Linked DNA regions of Drosophila melanogaster. The protein of the gene in region 1 interacts with the protein of each later gene in a pairwise test. Each region holds a gene or a part of one and is shown on either strand. Other genes may lie near its edges.

The links.
Region 2: the proteins of CG6607 (region 1) and CG34404 interact in a two-hybrid assay, tested with the Drosophila melanogaster proteins (2 studies listed by BioGRID).

What each region holds. Positions count from the first base shown.
Region 1 is NT_033777.3:24,526,199-24,530,315, forward strand, and holds CG6607 (uncharacterized protein), read left to right. Parts: upstream 1-1,848; 5' UTR 1,849-1,978; coding exon 1,979-2,056; intron 2,057-2,135; coding exon 2,136-2,486; intron 2,487-2,550; coding exon 2,551-2,730; intron 2,731-2,783; coding exon 2,784-3,305; intron 3,306-3,364; coding exon 3,365-3,454; 3' UTR 3,455-3,617; downstream 3,618-4,117. Other genes in the region: Jhbp12 (juvenile hormone binding protein 12), read left to right, coding at 401-490, 553-703, 820-1,252; CG13623 (uncharacterized protein), read right to left, coding at 3,623-3,998, 4,060-4,103.
Region 2 is NT_033777.3:15,363,177-15,369,363, reverse strand, and holds CG34404 (uncharacterized protein), read left to right. Parts: upstream 1-1,698; 5' UTR 1,699-1,929; coding exon 1,930-2,217; intron 2,218-2,541; exon of another isoform or gene 2,542-2,565; coding exon of another isoform or gene 2,566-2,700; exon of another isoform or gene 2,701-2,767; coding exon 2,768-3,017; intron 3,018-3,074; coding exon 3,075-3,404; intron 3,405-3,459; coding exon 3,460-3,593; intron 3,594-3,655; coding exon 3,656-3,957; intron 3,958-4,018; coding exon 4,019-4,729; intron 4,730-4,787; coding exon 4,788-4,920; 3' UTR 4,921-5,431; downstream 5,432-6,187. Other genes in the region: CG14868 (uncharacterized protein), read left to right, coding at 1-298, 351-458, 517-604, 663-801, 858-1,428; CG6171 (uncharacterized protein), read left to right, coding at 5,596-5,987, 6,049-6,187.

The DNA.
Region 1 (4,117 bases):
TTCCACGCCGCAGCACGGAATTTTTATGGAATTTTTCTCGCTGTGTAGCTGATTAATGAAACCGTTGGCATAGGTCATGTGTGCCTTTGTCTGCTCAATGTATTCATGATAAATGGCCCCTCAACTTGACATTGAGCCACTAAAATATGCTAGCTCACTTCTTTTTCTCATGTATTCATCCACATATATATATATACATTTTTTTTTGTGTCGCCGACACTTTTGTTTTGTTTACAAACAAGTTTCTGTGGCCAACGAACTCTGGCCAATGGATGCTGGCCCAATTGCAGGCCGCTATATTTTTATTTTTTGGCAGTGGCACTTCCGCAATCCGCGACGCGGCGAGATTTCAATGTCATGACCAAGCGCGACTTAACCGATTTTTGTCTCGACTTTTCAGCCGAAGGCTTTCCCAAGTGCAAACGGGACGCGAACTTCGACAAATGCCTGGTGGATGCCGTCAATGTGGCGATACAGCAGCTGAAGGCGGGTGAGTAATCACACCGATTTGGTTGCAGACCTGGAGTCATCCTCTCACCAATTCCATTGCAGGCAATAGGGAATTTGGCATCCCGCCCCTCGAACCGCTGACCGTAAAGAAACTCGTTATAGACGCCGGCAATGCGCCAATAAATCTGCGCCAGGCCTTGAAGAATGTGAAGGTGCACGACATGATCTCCACCAGCAAGATCCAGCGGTACAGGTGGGTTATCACGATTAAAATATTTATTAATGAAATTAAATGATATAACATCACAATGTCATATCAACTAAAGAAGTTATAAATATATGATGAATATATGACCTCCTAAATTTCAGAACCGATCTGGATAAGCACTTGATTATCTGTGATAGCCGAACGGATCGCATAGAGATGATTGGCGACTACGAGATGTCCGGCCGCATCCTTCTGCTGCCCATCACGGGACATGGAAAGGCCAATGTCACGCTGATCAACACCAAGATCGAGCATCGCCTGATCGGCGAACCCTTTGAGAAGGATGGCGTCAAGTACATGCGACTAAAGGACTACCGGGTGTCCTTCGATCCCAAGAGGGTGTACATGAACTTCGAGAATCTATTCAACGACAAAACTCTGTCGGATGGTATGAATCGATTCCTTAACGAAAACTGGGAGACGGTGTTCAACGAACTAAAGGTGGGATATGCCAAGAGTTTCGGCATCATCTTCAGGGAGCTGTCCAACAAACTGTTCGAGAAAGTGCCCTTCGATAATATATTCTTAAGTTAAGTGCTTAAACAGCTTTCAATTACGTACCTATTAGGTAATGCTTAATTTATGTTACTACATAGTTAATAAAGGTCTTAAACGATACAAATCTGTTTTATTTATTGCGATATACCCTATGATAACTAGTCATCAACTTATTCAGGGGCAAAGTAAATATTTAACATATATTAACAACACTTTAGTTGGTTTGTTTAGGGCTTTAACCTTTCACACCTCTTAATTATTCGCTTCCCTTTTTATTGCTTGTAAACAAGATAATTCGAAGAATTTGCTGCCTGTAAACAGAAAAATCGGTTTGCTTATCTGAAAAGTGAGAAGTCAAGGTTGCAATGAAATTCTTTAATGCAATGCAAGGGTGTAAAAATTTATATTATATAGTCAACAGTTTTTAGTTTTGAGAAAACAAACAAATAGCTTAAGGTTAATTTAAAAAAAACAGTTGAAGGCTTAACATATATAAGCATTTTTAATCAATAAAAAATCAAAAAATATTTCAAAACTAAATTTCTTCTTCTTTCTTAATTAAAATAACCGTTAAGTATGTAGTGTGACCAGCAGCACAAATGAATGCATTTTCGACCTTAGCGCTTTGGTATTCTCTGCGAGTGTGTGGCTGTGCCCACTGCAGTGCCAGCTTTATTTGTTGGTCAATTTGTTTAAAACAATTTAGAAACCGTGCAAAGAACTCCACCGCCGGCAACCACATAGACCTTAAAGCCAGCCTGGATGGCAGAGAAATCGCTAGCCATGGATGGCACGGTGCCGGAGGCCAAGTACCAGAAATTGGCCACAGAATACTCAAAGGTAGGATTCCGCCCCAAATCGACAGCAACAGTTAACGCCCATTAATCCAATTAATCCCCCAAAAATGAACCCCAAATAGCTGCGGGCACAAGCGACGGTGCTAAAGAAGGCGGTGCTGGAGGAGCAGTCCAAGGAGGCCAGTCTGCGGGAGCAACTGCAGCAGTACGCCACCTCGTTGCGCCGTACGGAGCAGGAGGTGGACTCGCTGGGCTTTCGCAACAAGCAGCTGGAGTCGCGAGTTTCGCAGCTGCAGCAGGAAATCTCGGTGCACGAGCAGCCCAAAAAGAAGGACAAGGATTCTGGCGGCAGGCGGGGCGTGCAGAGCAATAGCCGCCCAGATGCCGATCCATCATTGGATGCCGCTCAGGAAGCCCTCATCTTCGAGGAACTGCAGAAGAAAATCATGGAGAATGCGCAGCTGACGTCATTGGTAAGGCCAGGGGGGATGAAACTTAAAATTGGGTATGAGTTATGGCTCGAATGACTATGCACAGATTGACGACAAGCAAAGGGATCTGCTGCTGCACACGGAGCGCATAGCATCGTTGGAACAGAAGCTGGAGAAACGCATCGGCGATCAGAACGAACTGGAGAAGCGACTCAGGAAGGAGGTGGAAACGCTGCAGCACAGGAACAGCGAGCTGGAAACAAAGCTGGTTGATGCGGCCAGCATGGTAATATTGAGATCTCTCTTTAAATATTTACCCAAAGATTCGCGTGCTTTCAGCTTGGCAGCGAGGACGCACTGAGCGCCACCGGCAGCGATACTACTCCTCTACACAATCTCCAGCAGCAGTCGAATAGCAACCAACTCACCTCCGAGGATCGCATTGCGCTGCTCGAGAAGGAGGCGGCGCATTGGAGGGCTCAATTCGAAGTGGCCAAGCTGCATCAAGCATTTGTCTCGAACCCCAGCAAGGATCTCAGCACGTGCAGCTGCAGCACGGCGGCGGCGGGCGTCACCGTTCGACCGGCAGAGTCGGAGGCGAAAGGCAGCCAGCGGGCGCGGGATTCGCTGCAGGATCCCCCCGAACCGCCCACCAAGGAGCAGCTCATCTACAGTGTGTTCAGCAAGAAGTTCGAGGATCTGATGCGACTGAAAGTGCAAGCGGAATCCAAGTTGCGATCCTACGAGCTGGAGGTTCAGCACCTGCAAAACTGCCTGGAGAACGCAACGCACGAACTTAAGGCCAAGGACGATCAGTTGGCCAGTTTGGGTGGAGCCCTGCAAATGCTCGAAGAGGAGTTGGTGAGTTGTGCCTGCAGTTTTGTGCTCTTAGAACCAAGTGACATCTCGGATTTCCTTAGACTACGACGCGTATTAACTACGAGGAGCAAATCAGCGTGCTGACGGAGCAGGTCATCAGCTTGAGTGACCAGCTGGCCGCCTGCAAATGAGCATGGACAGCGGCGCGCATCCCGCCCAGCTGCTTTACTGTATATTGTTGTAAAATAACTAACTGGGAACGCCCGCTCCCCCTCTACCCTGTTTTGTTATTGTCCACCCTCGACGTGTATATAACTGAACATTCTATGTGTATTAAATAATTCTCTAAAGTTTAAAGTTTACAATTTGATTGAGAAGGAGGAGCCGCAGGAGCAGCCCTGTTCCGCCAGCGGATTGGCCACCATCCGGAAACCGGCGCGTATTAGTTCGCTATGGTAGTCCACGGTGGCGCCGCTGCAGTACTCCAGCGAGACTGTATCGATCACCACCTTGGCCTCAGCCTCGCCAAACTGTCGGTCATCCTCGTTCAGCTGCTTATCCAAATCGAATTTGTACTGAAAGCCGGAGCATCCGCCTCCTTCGACGGTCACACGCAGGAAAGATCCATCCACGCAGATCTCACGGAGCCGTTTCAAGCAGCTCTCGCTCACCTGGACACTAAGTTCGGGATTCGCGGATGTGGAAGCGGTTGCATGCCGCATTAGGATTAGATTTCTATGGAAGATCAAGCATTTATTGTGGGATTTGTCACGCAATTTTTCCTAGCTTATTTCACCTTTGCAATCCGCTCCTGGCCACTTGTCGCAGTAGGAACGCCATAATTTTACGATTTC
Region 2 (6,187 bases), 9.2 Mb from region 1:
TGGCGACATGGAACTACTCCGGGAGACGGAGGCCAGCAACAAGTCGCGGGTACAGGCAATGGCCAGCGAGAATGCCGCTCGCAACAAGGAGGAGCTGCAGTGGCGTCGTGAGCGGGCAAACTTTATCTGCCACCTGGAGGGCCTCAAAAAAAGGAATGCCCAGCTGGCCTTCGACCTGAAGGCGGTGATCGATGAGAAGGAGGAGCTGATAACCGAGCGGGATGCCTACAAGTGCAAGGCACACCGCCTAAATCATGAACTCTTTGTGGCCCTCAGGGCGAAGAAAACGCATCCAAGGGTGAGTTAACTGATGCTATATAGTACTTACTTGATAGTTATTGATTTTCCAGCTCCTGGACATCGATGGTGTTTTGCTGGAGAACAAGTACCTGCATGAACGTGTGAAGATCCAAGACAGCGAACTGGAGCTCACCAAACAGAGCATCAATAAGTACAAGGTACTGGTATTAGTTAAGACTTATTACCATTTTATTTATTTATATTTAAATCATTCAGACAATGTTGGATGCAAAACGAAAGAAGGGAATTGTAAAACTTGGCGGTGGGAGCACAAATGAGGACACCATTCTAAGCCCCCGGCAAGGTGAGTAATTATATGGTGGCCACCTCTTTCATGCCTTTCTAATTTGTTTGTACCCTAGTGAAAACAATCCTCGAGAGTGGCATTGAGCTGCCTCAGAAAACCGAGAGCTTAAGCGATCTAAAATCCTTGTGTCTGGCCCTGCTGGACAATCTCAACGACAAGAACTTGGCCCTGACGCACCAAAAGAAGACCAACAAGTAGGAAAATCCAGCTGAAAGTTGATATATATTTCATAAACCCATATTTCCTGCAGAATACTGGCTGGCAAAATGACGGAGCTGGAGCAGCGGTGGCAACAACTCCTCTCCGGAAACGATGACAACGCAGAGGAGCAGGAGGAGGACGTGGAATATGGTTATGCGCCTTCGCAGCTGCTCCTCAATGGCTATTGTGCCGCCATGGTAGATGACGCCGACATCAGCAGCACTCCGTCCATTGAGCCAGATAACGAAGGCGTCGCCATTACAGCGGATCATGAAGATTCAAAGAAGCACAAGTCCGTTGAGGCTCTGCATTCCGACGATGGAATGTCCTCGCTTTCAACGGAGTCCGTGGATTCGTCTGTGTACGGTGCAGATGTGCAGCCCGATGACTTCCAAAAGTCTTCATCCGCCACAACAGATTCGGGCAACTGTGGATTGAGCAGCCGCTGCAACGGCACGCCACGAATATCCAGTGCAGTGGCACGGGAACGTATGGAGGATCTGAAGGACCTGCCGCCTCACCTGGCCACTCTGGTCCAGAAAGCACTTCACGATCTGGACATGCGGGACTACGAGGCTATGGTGACGATACGAGCAGAGAATCTGGCGGCTATTCCTTAGAGAAAAACTAGTTCAATTGAGGACTCCCAAAGAAATGGATGAAACCATATCTCAGTGTTGACAAAAGATATAATACATATATATATTACCGCAACAGCGTACAATAAAACCAGATTATATAAAATAAATCACTTTATTCAATCGATATTGCGTTGAAACTGGATATGTACAATAACTATAGCATACAGTTTTAAAAGACGCGCCCAAGTTATCGATAAATAATATGCGGAGTGTTGCATACCGTTAGCATAAACACACTCTCACACACTCTTATTTCTGGGTATACATTTTCTGATAAGAATGCAATAAATATCCCGACTGGTTGGAGTAATTTCGAGTTTTTGAATTAAAAATGCCTTAAGAAAAGTTTTTAATGAGCCATGTAGAGTTAACACCAGTGCCACATATCCTGGGAATGGAGCACCAATCAAAAGTCATCATCAAGCGGCCCAAATCAGGCCAATTCTAGTCGGAAAGTCGTTGCAGCCGCCCATTGCCACCATGTCGAATGATGTGCAGGTCGCCCGGGTGGCCAAGATAGCTACCGATGTGCCGCGTCGCAGTGGCAAGCAGCGTGACTCCAGCGGATTCCAGGGCAAGCACTCCGGCAGCGCGGCTGGCGAGGATTTCGAGTACGTCTTCGGTAGCATTTCGCCGCGCGGTGGAGGACCCGGTGGCAGGCACTTGGTGGGATCCTCCGACCTGGACTCTCCGGAGCACACGCAGCGGGACACCACCGAGAGTGACAACAACATATCCAGCTGCTCCACGCTAGACATTGTCAACAAAGTGAGTAATGATGCCCGCACTGAGAGAAATAACTAGATCTTAAATCAAAAAAATCAATATATTAATTTGCAATGATACATTGGTACTAAACATGATCAAGTTCATTTTAAATTAATTTTTAAAATGATCACAAAATATTTAAAAATACCTCATTATTGTGTAGTTTAAAATAAGAAACGCAGAATTTTCAATCATTGGTTTTCAAAGTGTTTCGGGCTTTAAATTCGGTTGGCGTCCAGTGCGCAGATGCGTGTGGAAGGCTGAGGGTCAAGTTGCAGCGGCGGAGAGCGCGGATGCATCCGCGGTCGGATGACGACGTAATCGCCAGTCAAAATTTTCCACTGGACCATGATTTCGGAGCAACTGCTTCCGCGCAGCTTGAGCTGCCTGTGCTGCAGCGATACGCCATCGGTGCCCAACGACAAGAGACGCAGTTGGGAGTATACGCTGATGGCTCATCCTCTGGCCAGACGGCCCATAAACGTGATGACCCCAAGAATAACCACTTAGAAAGCTCTAATCCGCCTCTTTTCTTTTGATTCACCTCCAGGTTGAGCAACTGTCGGTACAACAGCTAGAAAACCGGGTGCGGGATCTAACGCAGCGTCTGCAGCAGGCGGAAAGACAGCTCACTGAGAGCAACACAGAGCGGGAAATATGCCACAAGCGCTTGGAGGTTGTCAGCCAGGCCCACGAGTGTCGCATCACAGAGATGCACTGTGTCATCGCCGAGTTAAGCAAGAAATTGCGCAGTAAGCAGGACCACGTTATCATGGAGGAGCAGGAGCCCGACGGCAGCGGTGCGTAGCAGTTTCAAATGAGGGAAACAAACCCCTAACCGACAGTCTTGTTTTCAGAACTCAGCTTTCAGGAGGGTTCAGTGTACAATTCCGAGCTTAACCTCACCAATCCTGATGCCGAATGTCAAACAGAACCACTGGAAGACTTCGAGGGCGCCTGCAGTACCACCAGCGTGGGTAACGTTGCCCACAAACCGCCGGAACTGAGCCATAAGGGACAAGTGGAGGCACTGCAGGAGGAAGTTCTGCACTTGAGAGCTCGAATCGCCCTCCTCCAGTCCGAGATTTCCACCAAGGATGCTGCTGTGGTCGAGGAACAGACCAAAGTCGCCTTCGACTGCGAATCGGAAGTCAACGAGTGCGGACAGCGACTGAATGATTTGAATGGTAATATAAATAATCCTGATGATAAAAGAATGGTTACACATTTAGATGCTTTCAGTTTGCACTTCCTTGACAAGTCCGCAAAAACGCATTCCAGCGGTACCGAAAATGGCTGAACGGGTTAAGTTGCGGTGCGCCAGCAAACATGAATCCGGAGAAGATCCATCCCAAGATACTTCATTGAGCAACGAGGTGTGTTGACCAAAACTTTATTCAGAGAATACATTTCAACCCATACAACCCATAATTTTAAGCAAATTAATCTGGTCGAACATTTGGTGTCGGAGCTAAAGGAGCAAAATCTATATATGGAGAACTTTATGGAGCCCCTACATTTGAGCAAAGACTTGGAGCGACTGCAACGACGTGTTGAACAATTGGAGATGCGAAACACCATGCTGGCACTGACGCTAGACGAATGCAAGGAGCACACTGAGCATCTGTATCTGCTATGCGGAAAGTACGAGTCCAATGCGGTTGCTCTTCAGTTGGCGCTTAATTGCAGTGATCGCGCCATCGAGGCCTACGACGTAATGTTGGCTCTGCTCGAAAGCAAGTAAGTACAATCACCATAAGACGCGGGTTGTTGTCCCTATTTCACAATTCATCACTTCCAGGTTGGCACTGCTGGGGGAGAAATCAGTGGCAGCGGAAGAGAGTCGACGATCGGTGGAGGCGGTGGCCAGGCACCTGCTAGCCCGTTTGGATAGCGAGAAAAACGTTTGTGAGAACAGCCTGGGACCGTGGCAACACAACATCAACCTGGGCCCAGAGGATGCCCCAAAAACTGGCCGCCCGTGGTGTGCCGACGACGACAACCGCCTGCGTTACCACGTCTCCAAGCTGAAGGGACGTCGTTCCAATGTCCAGCATACCATTGTCAGTTTGGAATCACCCTTCAGCGACATATACGAAAGAAAGCGCCTGGCTTTGGAAAAGGAGCACGAACTTCGGAGCGCGGACAAGAAGTCACCCATTGACTTGGAGACAGCAGTGATTATGCAAGAAATACTCGAGCTGCGGGATTCGAATTTGCAGCTGAAGACAAAAATGGAAGAGGCCGAGCAGGAACGGCAGAACGCCAACGAACGAGTGGGCATACTCCACGAAGCCCTAAAGCAGCTACAGGCAAACAACCGGGTCTCGTATTCGGAGGCGGAGCATGCGGCTCTCACAGAGCAGCAGTTGGTGGAGGCCTTAACTCGAGAAACGGAGCTCAAGGGTCGCATACAGACGCTATTGGCAAATGTAACAGCTTCGCAGAAGGCCTTCGACGAAAAATACGAGCAACTGCATCAGAACGTGCGTGAACTGCAGAAATCCAACCAGTAAGATTCGTTTTATTTTGACTGTTTCATACATAATTTCTTCATATTTCCCTTTTAGCAATCTGGGCCAAATGTTAGATCACACCAAGCGCAAGTACCAGCTGCGGGTGAGGAAGCTAGAGCAGAAGATTGTTGACCTGCGGCTGGACTACGAGCAAGGCCATAACCATGTTCCTGAGACTACTCTGTAGGAAACGCATGACGACCTTCCAGGAGGACTGAGCAACTGGGCGTGGAGCGGGCGCGCTTGTCACATATCCCGCAAAAGATCTTTCCCTCTCGATCATATCGCTTATTTTACCTTTAATGCAATGACCACCCGCCCAGCAGTCGCCGTGGATCCGCCATGACCAAGACAGTATCACGAATGTGCCATGCGACTTAATTGCAGTCGGCTGGGGCTTGGGCGGTGTCCCTGCCTCGCAGATAAGGCTGCAGTAACTACATACTCAAATACATACATATTCAGAGGTGCCATGAGCAAGGCTCCACCAACCTATCCATAGATCCGTGGGATTGGAGCATCCGTCTATGGGCCACAAGCAATTACATATACACACATACGAATAGACAAACTAAGGAGTTATTCAAGACGCATACACGGGATCCTATATTTATACAATGTATTCGCATTTTGCTTGTTATATGATTCAATATGTATTTAAAACTGTACAAAATATAAAACGTCTACTAAAACTCGATAAAATTCACGAATTTGAAATTGGCTCCAATAATTAATCGATAAGCTAATGAAACTAACTTAAGCATCCATCACCATTTCGTGTAGTGTTGCAAATCACCAGAATCAAGTATATGAGTACTTGTGAAATAAAAATGTTTTGAAAATTTAACTTAATTTACTTAAAATGAGTGCCACAGATGCATCTACAGCCGATAGTGGCGCTAAACGAAAATCTTCTGAAGATATCACACACAATTGCAACGCAAATTTTGGCGCAGAAAACGGCCTAAGAAAGCGCGTAAAATCGGAGGAGCCTGTGGCGTCCATTAAAGATGAAACAAATCCTGAAGTTCCTATGAAAATAAAAGCTGAGCCAGTGGAGAATGCAGATGAGCCCACAAGCACTACTCCTGCGATCAAGATTAAAGCCGAACCAGCGGACAATGGAAACTCACCTGCAGCTGCGATGGTAAAAACCGAGCCCACTAATAGCAATGCACAGGACGCCGCCGACGAGTCTACCGTATCTTCAAGCAGTATTAGGACTTCTTGTCGCTTCGGCATACGATGCTACAGGTGATTCACACTAACCAACTCCCATATTACCAACTAAAAATATACCTTTTTCCAATGACAGGCGAAATCCAGCTCATCGTAGTGCAGAAGCTCATCCGGGGGATCAGGATTACCGGCGACCAAACTTTCCAGCGCCACCCCTCGGAACTCCAGCTTGTCCTTTCGGTAACGCATGCTATCGCCGTAACCCAGTTCACTTC